Linked DNA regions of Cricetulus griseus. The protein of the gene in region 1 interacts with the protein of each later gene in a pairwise test. Links are inferred from orthologs where the notes say so. Each region holds a gene or a part of one and is shown on either strand. Other genes may lie near its edges.

The links.
Region 2: the proteins of calcium-binding and coiled-coil domain-containing protein 1 (region 1) and Cwf19l2 interact in binary tests that used the Homo sapiens proteins (3 or more experiments, as listed by UniProt). The two-hybrid records come from large-scale screens. The link is inferred for Cricetulus griseus from reciprocal best matches to the Homo sapiens genes CALCOCO1 and CWF19L2.
Region 3: the proteins of calcium-binding and coiled-coil domain-containing protein 1 (region 1) and dual specificity protein phosphatase 13 interact in binary tests that used the Homo sapiens proteins (3 or more experiments, as listed by UniProt). The two-hybrid records come from large-scale screens. The link is inferred for Cricetulus griseus from reciprocal best matches to the Homo sapiens genes CALCOCO1 and DUSP13B.
Region 4: the proteins of calcium-binding and coiled-coil domain-containing protein 1 (region 1) and Cep19 interact in binary tests that used the Homo sapiens proteins (3 or more experiments, as listed by UniProt). The two-hybrid records come from large-scale screens. The link is inferred for Cricetulus griseus from reciprocal best matches to the Homo sapiens genes CALCOCO1 and CEP19.

Annotation. Positions count from the first base shown.
Region 1 is NC_048595.1:399,089,831-399,092,876, reverse strand, and holds part of calcium-binding and coiled-coil domain-containing protein 1, read left to right. Parts: intron 1-837; coding exon 838-993; intron 994-1,162; coding exon 1,163-1,417; intron 1,418-1,671; coding exon 1,672-1,797; intron 1,798-2,079; coding exon 2,080-2,175; intron 2,176-2,530; coding exon 2,531-2,639; intron 2,640-2,807; coding exon 2,808-3,007; intron 3,008-3,046. UniProt on the Homo sapiens protein: Functions as a coactivator for aryl hydrocarbon and nuclear receptors (NR). Recruited to promoters through its contact with the N-terminal basic helix-loop-helix-Per-Arnt-Sim (PAS) domain of transcription factors or coactivators, such as NCOA2.
Region 2 is NC_048597.1:118,076,326-118,080,661, forward strand, and holds the start of Cwf19l2 (CWF19-like protein 2), read left to right. Parts: upstream 1-1,498; 5' UTR 1,499-1,521; coding exon 1,522-1,629; intron 1,630-4,336.
Region 3 is NW_023276807.1:199,240,442-199,244,091, reverse strand, and holds the end of dual specificity protein phosphatase 13, read right to left. Parts: intron 2,237-3,650; coding exon 2,016-2,236; intron 992-2,015; coding exon 789-991; 3' UTR 555-788; downstream 1-554. UniProt on the Homo sapiens protein: Dual specificity phosphatase that dephosphorylates MAPK8/JNK and MAPK14/p38, but not MAPK1/ERK2, in vitro. Exhibits intrinsic phosphatase activity towards both phospho-seryl/threonyl and -tyrosyl residues, with similar specific activities in vitro.
Region 4 is NC_048597.1:57,389,781-57,393,346, forward strand, and holds part of Cep19 (centrosomal protein of 19 kDa), read right to left. Parts: intron 909-3,566; coding exon 547-908; 3' UTR 1-546. UniProt on the Homo sapiens protein: Required for ciliation. Recruits the RABL2B GTPase to the ciliary base to initiate ciliation.

The DNA.
Region 1 (3,046 bases):
GGAGGATCTGGAGTTGAGCCTTTTTTTTCTTTAAGTGGTGAAAAATGCCTAAAGAGTTGTACTGAGAAGCACTGATCACCTGCTAGAAAATAACTAGTTACAGCACTATCCAGTCATCCCATGGGAACAGCCACGCCTGAGCTAATGTGGTAAAGGCATAATAGACAGTAGAAGATGGCTGTGGCTATGATGGAGAGTGGAAAAGCTGTTGCTTTCTTCTGTGAACTGCTAGGGAGAGAAGAGAACCAAGCATAGCACTCAAGTGTCCAATTAGATGAATTGAGAATTGCTCAGTACAGCAGACAGAAGTGACAGAGGTCCCAGGAAAGGCTAGGCATAGTAGCATGCATCTGTAATCTCAGCATGCAGTTAACATAAGCAGGCAGAGGATTGTGCATTCAAGGCCAATTTGGACCAGCTACATAGTATGACCATAGTGCAGGGAGAGGGACTAGAGACAGAGACTCCAGGAAGGGAGAGGAGGAAAAGGAAAAGGTCTGTGGTGAGAGGTGCAATATTCCTAGCTTTAGAGGCCATTCAGACTGTTGTGATTCAAAGGAAAAGTAGGAAATCAAAGTGGGTTGTGGGATGTCTCCATGTAAGACCCCAAGCTGTGATGCTCTGGACACTTCATTTGGGACCTGGATACTAGAGGTTCAAGATTGAGAGCCTTTGAGCTGAGGACCCAAGAAGAGCTGGCAAGAGCTGAATGCTTCCGCTTGTATTGAATCTCAGAAACAGACCTTGCCTTCTCTCATCCCAGGGCCAGGAAGGCAACCTGCCCCTGGTACACCAGCACTCATCCCCTGCTCCCTACCTTCTTTCCACTTTCGTCAGGTTGAGCTCCAGATGATCCAAGAGGAGAACCGTCGCTTAACTATAGAGCTGCAGGAGGTCAAGGGCCAGCAAGAAGAGCAAGGTGCTCAGGTTCAGCAACTGAAGGACAAGGTGGCACACATGAAGGATGCCCTGGCCCAGGCACAGCAGAAAGTGGTGAGTGAAGTCATGTAGATGATAGAGAGCAGTGAGAGTACCAAAGTAGTCTAGAGAAAGAGACAAAGATGGCTAAAGTAAACAACACAGTCCTGGGTCCTGATGAGTGGGCCCCCTAATTCACAAGTAGTTGCCTAAGGGATCTGATTTCTGTCCTTTTTCTCCGGAGGCTGAGCTGGAGCCCCTGAAAGAGCAGCTTCGAGGAGTCCAGGAACTTGCAGCCTCAAGCCAACAGAAAGCTGCCCTTCTTGGGGAGGAATTGGCCAGTGCAGCAGGAGCCAGGGACCGCACCATAGCCGAGCTACACCGCAGCAGGCTGGAAGTGGCTGAAGTCAGTGGCCGACTGGCTGAGCTCAGCCTGCACATGAAGGAGGAAAAGTGCCAATGGAGCAAGGAGCGTACAGGGCTGCTGCAGAATATGGAGGTAGAGGGTGACCCTTCCCCCTACCTCAGAGACTCTAACCTGTAGTGAGGTGCTCTGGGAGGAGGGAATAGGGGACGTGATCCTAGGAGGACTTGAGGAGAGGTACTCAATGGAGCAAGGAGCGTACAGGGTTGCTCAGAAACCGTTTAGGCCCCAGACATACAAGAAAGGGTCCCAGTGAGTACAATGCTATTTCCCTGGCATCCCTTGCCACTTCACCTCCTCCCTCCCATCTTTCTTTGTACCATCTCTAGGCCGAGAAGGACAAAATCCTGAAGCTGAGTGCAGAGATCCTTCGGCTGGAGAAGACAGTACAGGAGGAGAGAAGCCAGAGCCACATATTCAAGACTGAGCTGGCCCGAGAAAAGGACTCTAGCCTGGTGAGGTGCTCACAGAGTCACATCTGGGCTGGAGGTATAACATAGGGGAGTTATGGGGTGGCTTCTGGTATTACCAAAGCCTCTTCATCCAGCCTAAGACAGTTACCTGGGGCCATATTGGAGAGAGAGAGTCTAGGACTTGACCTGAGCCCCGGGGGCCAAGACAAGGGCCTTGTGGAAGAAGCACTTTGTGTGTGGAGCAAGAGAGAACCTAGTTTACTTTTGGGCCAGTTTCTTGGTGGCACACTGCAAGCTGCAGGATCCATGACCCTTTCCCCTCAGGTACAGTTGTCAGAGAGTAAACGAGAGCTGACAGAGTTGCGCTCGGCCCTCCGTGTGCTTCAGAAGGAAAAGGAGCAGCTGCAGGCGGAGAAACAGGTGAGACTCACCTGTAGTTCAGGCCCTGGATGCCAAAGCCAAGGGCTTGGAGACTCAAACTTCTGTACCATCTTGGTAATCCCTTGGCTCAGAAACTGGAATCTCTTTGAGAATGCAAAAGCTGAAAAATGGCTCTGACTCCTCTTAGGAACTAACTTTGTACAGGGGAGGAACACCAGAAGGGATCAAGGTGCAGGGTAGAGGAGAGCTCTCAATTAAAGGGATCTGCCATGTGTGACTCCACCCCATGGCGAAAGCATCTACAATGATGTCTGGGAGCAAGGAAAGCCCAGGAGGCCAGCAGGGTTGTCCTCTTACAGGCTTTGACACCTGCCTTTTTCTTCCCCAACTCCAGGAATTGCTGGAGTACATGAGGAAGCTGGAGGCCCGATTAGAGAAGGTAGCAGATGAGAAGTGGAATGAAGATGCTGCCACAGAGGATGAGGAGGCCACTGCAGGACTGAGTCTGTCCCCAATCTTGTGACACCTCTTTCCCTTCCCCCTCTTTGAGGAAAGCTATTGAAGCAGCCTAGCCTTCCCTTCCCATTCCTGGGGCCCTCTGCAGTTGAACCGTCTCCCTCCTTAGATTCCTATGGCTGACCTTTCTTCTCTATCTGAATGCCCTCCCATAGGCTGCCCTGCAGCTCTGACGGACTCTGAAGATGAGTCCCCAGAGGACATGAGGCTCCCATCCTATGGCTTGTGTGAGCATGGAAACACAGGCTCTTCTCCTCCTGGGCTCCGGGAGGCATCTTCCCTTGTTGTCATCAACCAACCAGCACCCATTGCTTCCCACCTCTCCGGGCCAGGGGAGGACAGCAGCTCTGACTCAGTGAGTAGTGAGAGCCCACATGCACAGCTGTAAGCAGGC
Region 2 (4,336 bases), on another chromosome or scaffold:
TATGTGTCTCTTTGTATGCAGTTGGAGCAGGGCAAACCCTGTGGGATGAATGGAGATACAGGCAGCTCTACCTTAGTTGTAACAATATCAGCCTGGTCATCATGCTGGGATATGGAACAGGGAAGGTCAGGAGGGAAATTATCAAAATCTAGTTTTTAGTTTCCTGACATTTTCATTTCTTCTGCAATACAAAGGCTCGTGAGTATTGCTTCTTAACAGCAAAATGAACTTTCACAGCAGTTCTGACTAACAGAGAAGCCAGGTTACTGAAAACCAGCAGACCAGCTGCAGTATATTTCATGGTGTGCTCCTATGGGTGCCTTTGGTATTAGGTGAGCAGGTGCAGCAGCCCTTCCAATCAGCTCTGTATTGGCTGGTTACTCTCAGTGGGTACATCTGTGCAGGTTGCAGCCTTCTAAATGTAATGAATCAAATCAACAATAGCACTTGGTGGGGGGCATAGGGGTGTAACCGTTGAAGTTTGGCATTTTAAATTCTGCTGAGTTGCCAGAGGTAAAAAGAAAGAGAAATGGCTTATCTCAATTTTCCTATTACCATCCTTGTGAACGAATCATATGTAGCACAGATAAGAACTAGTATTTTGATACAGAGACTTATTTAAGCAAGATGCAGTAAACATAAGGTCCCTGCTTTTTTATTTTGGGGGAGGGGGTTAGAGACAGGGTTTCTCTGTGGCTTTGGAGGCTGTCTTGGAACTAGCTCTATAGCCCAGGCTGGCCTTGAACTCACAGAGATCCGCCTGCCTCGGCCTCCCGTGTTGGCATTAAAGGCCTGTGCCACCAACACCCAGCTTTCTTCATGAGAGAGAATCTTACACTCAATGCATCTCACACCCAATGATGAGAACTCTTCCTGCACTCAGGCTTGTGCAACACTCTCAACCTCTACAGGGTGTGTGAATGTGTGTGTGAGTGTTTTGTTTGCCTTTATCTAAGTACACCAAGGAGGTGAAGTGCCTGTGGAAGCCAGAAGAGGGCGGTGGGTCCCCTGGAAATAGAGCTACAGATGGTTGTGAACCTCCACAAGGCTTTTGGATCTGAACTTAGGTCCTTTGCAAGAGCAAACCACTCACCCATCTCTCCAACTCCGTTTCCAATATATTTAAAAACACCCACCAACAAAAAAAAAATAGTGAATCTTAGAGCAATTTTTTTTTTCCCTTTCCCCCCACGTTCTCCTGACTTTCTGATTAGCGTCCCTTTAGCCTGGTGCACCATCACAGGAAATCAGGCAAGAACGCAGATATCTGGATAGTAAGAGTCTTGATAAGACAGGAGCTAGCACAGTGCAAGGTACATCATTGCGCATGCTGATTATTAACTCAGCGAACCCCGCACACCTAAAACGCCCGCCGCGGGGCGGACTTCCAACGTTCCACCAAACCTTTAGCTCTGCCGCCTTTCAATCTGCGCCTGCTCCGTTGGCATAGTAACAGGCCAGGATTTGGTTCCTGCTTTGCGACAGTCGTAAACTGAGGTTTCCGGACGGCTTCCTCGCTTTATGACAGCTACAACTATGGCGGCGTTGGGTGGAAGATTTGAAAGTGCTAGGAGTATCGAAGAGCGAAAAGAACGGACCCGCATTGCCAGGGCCGAAGTGTTACGCCAGGTATCTCCGCTTTGGAGTGTTTTCTTTCCTCCTTTTAAGACCAGGGCTCACACTGAGCGCTTCCTGCACTTCAGGCCAGCACTCTCCCAGAGAATCCGTCTTTCGTTCCTGAAATGCTGTCGTTTTTTCTCTTAGACAGATCTCGGAAAGTTACTTAGAATTGCAGGACTTGACACTTCCGGGAGGTAGTCCACCTACTCCTCTCCTCACGTCGGTATTTCTCCATGTCAGGCTGTCAGCTGTTTTCCCAAAGCAGTGTCTCCTAAATTCTCTGCCCGCTCGCTTTGCTCATTCCCTTTGCAGAGAGATGTGATTGGGTTCCTTAGCTTTTAGTCATCTATTCTTGACATTTCTGCCGCCTGGATCGCTAGGTTTCTTTTTCTTTTTTTTTGCCCAGTTTAAAAAACATTGAGCAATACATCCCCCACTCTCCTTCCCTCTCCCCTCCCCTTCCACTCTCCCTCCTGCCCCTACTCTTCCTATTTACTTAGGAGATCTTGTCTAGTTCCTTTTCCTAGGGTCCTCTAGGTTCTCAGGGGTTGTGGCCTGTAGGCTGGTTGTCCTTTGCTTTAAGTCTAATATCCAATCATGAGTGAGTACATATTTGTCTTTCTGGGTCTGGGTTACCTCACTCAGGATTTTTTTTTTTTTTCTGGTTCCATCCATTTGCCTTCGAATTTCAAGATGTCCTTTCTTTCTTTCTTTCTTTCTTTCTTTCTTTCTTTCTTTCTTTTTTTGGTTTAATCACTGAGTAGTACTCCAATGTCTAAATGTACCACATTTTCCTTGTCCATTCTTCGATTGAGGGGCATCCAGGTTGACTCCAAGTCCTGGCTATTACAAGTAATGCTGCCATGAACATTACTGAGCAAATGTCCTTGTGCTTTGAGTGTGGATTGCTCAGTTTCTATGTACTGTACCACATTTGAAGACACCAGTTGTCTTGCAGACCGAGTCATTTCTTCGGCCTATTGGAAGTGGGAAACATTTGAGTACAGTGGGCATTCCTCCACTGTCTGTCTGTCTTTCACTGGGCATTTAAAATGGTTTATTACGGTTTTTCATGACAGTGAGACACAACACCAGACAGACTGATTGAAACACTGTTTAACATAAGAGACTCAGAATGTGTGTCTCCCCCAAAAGTTTGGTAAACAGAATTCTCATTAATATTGAAATATATGGAATTTATAAAAAATGGAAAAAGTAAATATTGAATTATCTGATAAGTTTTTCCAAACTGTGACTGCACAAAGGGCAAATTTGTAGTTGAAGAACAACAGTGTTTGGTAACAATTTGGTGGGGGGCTTAAGGGGAAGAAGTTTTAATAAGTTTAAATGTATATAAAGAATAGAAAAGATAGGAAGAATGAGTAATGATCGTCATATTTTTATGGGAGTGAGTACCTGGTCTCGGACAAATAAACCATTGTGATTTTTCATTGATCTCAAAGTAGATATAATAATATTCTTCATTATTGTCTGACTGGTATTTCCAGAAGTTTTGGGAGGAAACTCTTTATAAACTGTAATGAATTTTATAGGGATCTGCATATAGGACCAAACTCAGCTTTGATGTTTGAGAGGTAGATGAGAAAGCAGAAAAAACCTTGCATTGTTTGGCGTTTGTTGACTGTTGACTAGAAACTAGCAGTATGATCCTATCTTTTTTTTTTTTTTCCTTAGTTCAAGTTAGGGAACAAGCTTGTTTCACATGTAAGTCCCTTCTCCCTCTCCCTCCCCTCACCCCCATCCCTCCTCCCCCACCTCAACCTACCCCCCACCCCATCCACCCACCACTCCCCAGGCAGGGTAGCCCTCAACGGGGGCTCTGCAAAGTCCACCAAATCTTCTTGTGCTGGGCCTGGGCCCTTCCCAATGTGTCCAGGGCCAGAGTGTAACCCTTCATGTGGGATGGGCTCTCAAAGTCCCTTCTTACACCAGGGAAAAATACTAATCCACTACCAGAGGCTCCCTGGAGTGCAGAGGCCTCCTTATTGACATCTATGTTCAGGGATCTGGATCACTCTTGTACTGGCCTCCCAGTTAGCATCTGGGGTCGATGTGCTCCCCCTTGTTCAGGCCAACTGTTTCTGTGGGTTTCTCCAACCTGGTACAGACCCCTTTGTTCTTCATTCCTCCCTCTCTCCAACTAAATTCCAGATTTCAGCTCAGTGTGTATCTGTGGATGTCTGTCTCTGTTTCCATCAGCCACTGGATGAGGGCTCTAGGATGGCATAAAGAGTAGTCATCAATCTCATTTTAGGGGAAGGGTTTTTAGGTTGTCCTCTCCACCATTGCCTGGATTGTCAGATCATGTCATCCTTGTAGGTCTCTGGAGATCTCCCTAGTTCCAGATCTCTTCTCAGACCTATAGTGGCTCCCTCTAATATGGCATCTCTCATTCTGCTCTTTCTCCTCTATTCTTCCCCTGACTCAATATTTCTGCTCCTCTATTTCCTCTCCTCTACTCCTCTTCTCTTGATCTTATTGTGGCAGTTCCCTCTCCCCTACCCTTGTGCTCCCAATTAGCTCAGGAGTTCATGCCACTTCCCATTCCTGGGGTCCATTTATCCCTTAGAGTCCTTCATGTTTCCTAGTTTCTTTGGTGAAGATGATCCTATCTTTTTAAGAAGATTTTTTTTTTTTCTGAGACAAAATATTGGGGTACAGATATTGCCTATTGAAGGCATGGAAAAAGTCACCT
Region 3 (3,650 bases), on another chromosome or scaffold:
TTATTTTAAAAATAAACTTTATTTTATTTGCTATTGCTGTGTGTAGGCATGCTGTGTTAAGATTGTGCATATGTGCGTGAACATGGAGGTCAGGGGACACCTTCATGGAATCCATTCTCTCTCTTTGCCTTTATAAGGTAGAAGATTGAACCCAGGTCACCAGGGCTTGTGCTACAAAATCTTTGACTTGATGAGCCATCTTGCTGGGCCCCACAAGTGAATTTTGATTATGGCCAGGAGAGGATCTGATACTTGGAACTTTTTTTTTTTTTCTTTTAACAGACAGCTTCAGCCTTGGGTGAGGGCATGAAAGGGGCAGGATGAGGGAGAAGTCACCTGGTCCTCAGCACCTCATCAAACCTTCTCTTGCACCCAGAACATTATCACTAACCAATCCCCACCTGCACTCTCTCCTCATTGGGTCTTGCCTTGTCCTCAGGCTCCCTCCTTCTCCAGGCTGCTGAGTCAGAGCTGGCAAACCATCCTGAGGCTTGTGGCCTTCGTGACAATAAAGCCATTGTCTCACAAACATCTTTATTATGATGAACCTTTTATTATAGAGACAGACTGAATTTTCTTCTGCATAAAGAATTTCTGTATTGGGTCAGGGAACTCCACCTGCTGAAGGGTGCTACCCAGCTTGCCCTGCCTCTGCCTCAGTGGAGCGCTGACTTGCTGGAAAAATCTCAGGGTCTCTGGAAACAGCAGAGACTGCCATCCCCAGGGCCAGGCAGGTCAGGTTGGGCCACGCTGGATGGAGGGGGTCAGGGCTTCAGGCGCTCCCTAAATCAGAGTCGCCCTGATTCCCGCCTCAGCCTGTTGTCCAGAACCTGGAGTTGTCGGAGAAAGCCTGAGTTGGGGCAGATATCTCGGTGGGCCTGCACCGTCTGGATGGCTTCTACCAGTGTCATGTTCTCGCAGATCATGAGGAAGGCCAGGACAACTGTGGCAGAGCGGCTTACCCCCATTGCGCAGTGAACCAGCACTCGGCCTGTAGGAAAACCCAAACTACCATTGGCCACCTGCACCCTCCTCACCTTTGAGAAGAAGGGACGGCTCTGGCCATCCCTTCTGTCCACCTGTCTCGACACCCTGGAAAACTAACACTGTCCTTATTGTCAGATGGGGCAATGGAGGCTCAAGGTCACACAGCAATTTAGTAGAGGTGAACAGCTAGGCACCTAGTCCAGAGGGGCTTCCTCTGATAGCCCATTGCAAGTCCAGGAGAGGGTCATCAAACTTCTGGAGTTCCTTGGATTTACATCACAGGGAATACCCTCTCCCTTTCCCCTCAGTCCTGCTCTCTCCTGCCCATGAAGCCTTGAACCTACCTATGTTTCCTCTCTGTGCTTTGCTAGATTTCTGCCTAGTGACTGGACACTTTCTAAAGGATATGGTTATACTAATAACCATAATGGATAGTGTGTGTGTGTGTGTGTGTGTGTGCGTGCGTGCGTGCGTGCGTGCGTGCGTGTGTGTGTGTGTGTGTGTGTGTGTGTGTGTGTGTGTCTTCTTTGATGTGGTGGTACACATGAGTATTCAGGTGTTTATCCAAATGTGTACACATACATATGAAGGCCAGAAATCAACTCTGGAGGTTGCTCCTCAGGCATTGTCTGCCTTTGTATTTTGAGACAGGGTCCCTCACTGCCTAGGCTGCCCTGTCAGTGAACCTCAGATATCCTCCTATTTTCATCCACCTAATGCTGGGAGAACAAGCACACATTACCATGCCTGCCTTTTTCATGCAGGTTCCAGATCTTCATTCTGCACAGCCAGCACTGTACCAACTGAGCCATCTCTCCAGCCCCCTTGCTGACTCTTAGTTATATCTGGAATTGTTGATTTCCACGACATACTCACTAAGTGGTAATAGCTACCCGCTCCTTACAGTGGGAGGGCTGCTGATGGGGTTGGTGGCATGGGCTCCCTACCCATCAGTGCTACTGTAGAAATGGATAGCACCAAATCCCACCCTGTCCCCACCCTGCCCAGTCCCTTCCCCAGCAGCTCACTTTGGGGAGTATTGAGGGCATCTCTGATGTATCGAGCAACAGGCAGAAAGTAAACACTGAGGTCAAAGAAGGGATTATCATCAGCCTCAATGCCATAGTACTCCACAGAAGTTCCACGGTAAAACTTGGCACCTGTGTCCACTTGAAACTTGCCTGCAGCAACATTCACAACATGGGTGATGCCCAGTTGGATCAATCGACTCTTGTCTCGGGCAGCATACCTAAAGGAAAGGCACATGGGAAGTTGGGAGGGGGTGGAGGTGGGTCTCATAGGGTCAGAACTTAACCTCACCCCTCTGTTCTCTTCCAAGGGTAGAGACTGAACAGCGAACTTACTTCCCTAGCAAAGGCAATCCTCAGCTGGGCGTTGGTGGTGCATACCTTTAATCCCTGCACTTGGGAGGCAGAGGCAGATGGATCTCTCTGAGTTTGAGGCCAACCTGGTCTACAGAGAGAGTTCCAGAACAGCCAGAGCTATACACAGAGAAATCCTGTCTCAAAAAACAAAAACAATCTTATCTTCCAAATATCACTAAATTCAACTTATATAATGTCTGTTGGCACATTTGAATTCTTCCTTTTAGGATGATCCTAAACGTGTTTACACAAAAGTATACACATATTTCTAAGGTTTTCGATTCATGTAGCTAGGCATCTTTCCAGGATGAAGGATCTAGAGCAGTGTTTCTCAGCCTGCGGCGGGGGGGGGGGGGGGGCGGCAAAGCTACTTTGGGGGTCAAACACCCTTGTGCATATAAGATAAACTGCATATCAGATAGTTACATTATGATTAGAAAAGGCATCAGAATTACAGCTATGAAGTAGCAACAAAATAATTTTATGGTGAACACCAATTACAGCTATGAAGTAGCAATGAAATAATTTTATGGTGAACACCATGACTTGAGGAACTGTATTAAAAGTTCAAAGCATTAGGAAGGTTGAGAACCTTTTTAAGTTTTGCACTGTCCTGCTGTGTTGTACTCAAGGCTGTCATAGCTAGCAGTAGTTGTCAACTTTACAGATCTATGTAGAGGAAGCCTCAGTTGAGGAATTGCCACCATGACTGGCCTATGGACAGGTCTCTGGGGCATGTGTTAGCTGCTAACTGATGTAGGAGGCTGCAGCCCACAATGGGTGGTGCCATCCCTAGCAGGTGGGCCTGGCTGTATAAGAAAGGTAGTTTAGCAAACCAGAGGGAACAAGTCAGTAGGTAGCATTCCTCCACAGTTTCTGCTTCAAGCTCCTGCCTTAGCTGCTATTGATGGTCAACTGTAGCTGCAATCCAGATATACTCTTTCCTCCCTAAGCTGGTTTTGGTCAATGTTTTATCATAGTAACAGCAAGCTAGAACAAGGACAAGCATTCTGGCCAGTGTATTCACATTGCATGCTACAGTAACCATTAATTGTTTATTAGCTGTCTCAGTTATAAGATTGACTGTCAGGGTACCACAGGCCTGTGTTCAATTAGTCCTTAGTTAACATAGTAATTACTTGTTTTTTTTCTGTTAGACTGAATAAACTTTTATTTAGCATGCGTTAACATTTACATGAAATTCAAGTTACATGTGATACAGTCTTTTTACACAGTAGTTCAAACAGACTTGTTGTCTATATTTCTACTACCAAAAGT
Region 4 (3,566 bases), on another chromosome or scaffold:
CCTGAGCGTGGAGGGACACAATTGCCTTTGTCTCTCAGTCTGCATGCACTTGTAGCTGTGAAGCACTTTGCAGGTGTTTTTGTCTACCCGAGAGTTAAATACCCATAGAGACATAATGAACACAGGTTAATCTCAATCTTGCCAAACTATAATTATTCACTCTTTCTCCAAATTTTCATGTCCTGTCTCTTTACTACACCCTCCCCCTTTGCTTCATCTACAAAACCACCTGTAGCATTCCAGGGCCATGCTCAGGTCCCTTTCTGCTGAGGGAAAACCTTCCTTGCTATGTCAGCCTTCATTGAAAATCTGATTCTAATCTCGTTTCTGAGTAATATTATTCAAATATCTTTTTACAAGTTTTTGAGTTACTTTCCTTTTAGATTGCCAACTCCTTAAATGGCATTCCTATACTGTTTGTTGTTGCTGTTGTTCCTCACAGGCCTACGCAGCACACATGAGTCTCTTGGTTTTATATGTACCTTCGTGTTTACAGATTTTCTAGGGCCAGTCCTTGTTCTTTGTGGAGACATGGATCAGCAGGTCTCAGAACTCATCGGCTGACTCGGTGTCCCAGCTGCAGGACAGCAGCTGTTCATCCTGAGGGAACTCAACTTCAACGTCATACACAAAACTGGGGTCATCCTTTCTCTTCTGATTTTTCTCAAAAAGTTCATCCATGATGCTCTTCCTTTTGGCGAGCTCCTTGTCATCTAGTTTGTTCAGGTCTTCCTCGGGGTCAATGGTCGTTTCCCGTTGAATTTGTTCCTTCGTTTCTGCCAAGCTCTGCCCCTGCAAGTAACCTCGTAAAAAAACAAACAGCTTCTCCAGCTGCTTCAGGGACACCAGTTCTAGGTAATTCTTGTGCCGTGGGTTATTCTTTAATTGTTCAGCAGCTCTGGTGCAATCTAGGAGGGAAAAAAGTGTATATACAGCACACATATCACACCCGTCACAAACTACTATGAGGCTGGAAATAGACCAAAACCTGAGATCACTAGCTCCAAGGTAGCCAAGTGGCTAAAGGGGTTTATTAAAATCAATTATTACTCTTTAGAACTATACTTCTAGCAATTCATTTATTTATTTTTCTGAGATTAAAACATACCAACCTGGTAGGGGGAGGGAAAGGGAAGAGAAGAGAGTGGGGAGACTGTGGTTGGGATGTAAAATAAATAAATAAATAACATTTAAAAAACAAAACAAACATTCTATCCTATAGGGAAGCTCCTTCAGACAAAAAGTAAACAGTTCAGAACAACTCCAGGAAGTCCCTAAAGCTGAGCAGACTCACTTGGCCCCTTCCTTCTCTAGAATAAACAATAAAGACTTTGAGAGCCTCTCCCAGAGGAGCCAAGCCACACAAAAGACTCCTGAGAGCCGCCAAACAGACCAAAAGAAGCAAAAACAAAACAAAACAAAATAACAACAGCAACAAAAAAACCAGTGGAGCTGCACAAGAGGCTCAGACCAACTGACTCAACTAAAAAGGACACTCTGCCACTTGTTAGGCTACATGTGGGCTGTGCAGTGAGCTCCAGGTTTCCAGCTTTTGTGAGCTGTCACCCATGCTGGGGTGGATTTTGGTGATGCAGCTGTCTTTAAGTCATTTCTTCCCCCATAAGTAACCCCTCACCCATATTCCGGTAAGTAACCCCACTAAAGCTGAGTGGTTCACCAAATTGAACTTTAATGGTATCCACACTTTGGTCTGCCATGGGCTCCCTATCTGAAATAAATACACAAAAATATGTTGTGTCTCCCTAGGAAAAGTTTGTCACACAACACACACATACCTGTAATCCTAGCATTTGGAAGAAATGGAAGATAGAACGTTTGAGGTTAGCCTGAACTACTTAACTAGATTCTGCCATATAAACAAAATCCACATCAGGCTGGGTATGGAGGTGCATGTTTATAATTGCTTCTTATCCCGGCATTAGGGATATTCATGAATTCATGACAGCCAAGGTGGCAGACAGAGATCCTGCCTCAAAACAAAACAAAACAAAACCAAGATAGCTGGTTGGTGGTGTCACATGCTTTTAATCCCATGCCTTTAATTTTATTTGTATGAGTGTATGTATGTGCACCATGTGTGTGCAGTGCCAGCAGAGACCACAAGAGAACGACAGTGAGCTGGAACTGGAGTTAGAAGATGGCTGTGAGCCACCAGGCAGGTGCTGGGAACTGAACCCAGCTCCTCTGCAAGAGCAGCAGGTGCTTTTAATTGCTGAACCATCTCTCTAACCCCCCAAATAAAAATTTTAAATAAACAAACAAACAAACAAACAAACAAACAAACCTAGCTTTGGTGTCAAGGCAGACATGTAGACTTTTTTCTTTTCTTTTTTACTTTCTTAACCAAAAATTACTTTGTGGGATGCTAAAAACTTTCAACTGAAGAAACTGTCTAATGATGAAAAATGCCATAATTTTTATTTATTTTAGAGACTGAGTCTCACTATGTAGCCTTTGCTGGCCTAGAAGATTACTCTGTAGACCAGGTCTGGCCTCAAACTCACAGAGATCCACCCACCTCTGCCTCCCAAAAGCTGGAATTAAAGGCATACAGATTAAATTGCCAATTTCTTTATTTTTATTTATTTGGTTTTTCAAGACAGGGTTTTTCTGTGGCTTTGGAGGCTGTCCTGGAACTAGCTCTTGTAGACCAGGCTGGCCTCGAACTCACAGAGATCCGCCTGCCTCTGTTTCCCAAGTGTTGGGATTAAAGGCATGCGCCACCACTGCCCGGCTAAATTGCCAATTCTTTAACTGTTAAAAAGTATAGAAATTCTTAGTTAGGGCTTCTATTGCTGTGATAAAACACCATGACCAAAAGCTAGTTGGGGACGAAAGGGCTTATTTGGCTTAAACTTCCATGTCATAGTCCATGACTGAAGGAAGTCAGGACAGGAGCTCAAACAGGGCAGGAACCTGGGGACAGCAGCTGGTGCACAGGCCATGGAAGAGTGCTGCTTACTGGCTTGCTCCCCCTGGCTTGCTCAACCTGCTTTCTTATTCCACCCAGGACCACCAGCCCAGGGGTTGAAGCACCCACAGTGGGCTGGGCCCTCCCACATCAATCATCAATAAGTGATTTCACCAAGATAACAATCTAGGCCCCAATTAAGTCATGATTTAAACCTAAGTTTATTTCTGAAGAAGTGTTCATTCTATTGCATGAAACTAAATACTCCCCTCCCTCCCTCCCTCCCTCCCTCCCTCCCTCCCTCCTCCTCCTCCCTCCCTCCTCCCTCCTCTTCTTTTTCCTCTCAGTGGGGACTGCTTCCAGGACCCTGCACATGTTAGGTACTCTACCACTGATCTATATTCCCTTCACAACCAATCTTTTTTTCTTTTCTTTTCTTTACTTTTTTTTTTTTTTTTTTTTTGAGACTGGTTATCTGAAGTTATCCAGGCTTAAATTTGCAATTTTCCCACGTCAGCCTCCTTAAGTGCTTGGATTATAGGTATATGCCACCTGATTATGTCAGGCTATTTTTATTAAGTGATGTAAGGATATTGAAGACAGGAAGCAAGGGCTGGAGATGGCTCAATGGTTA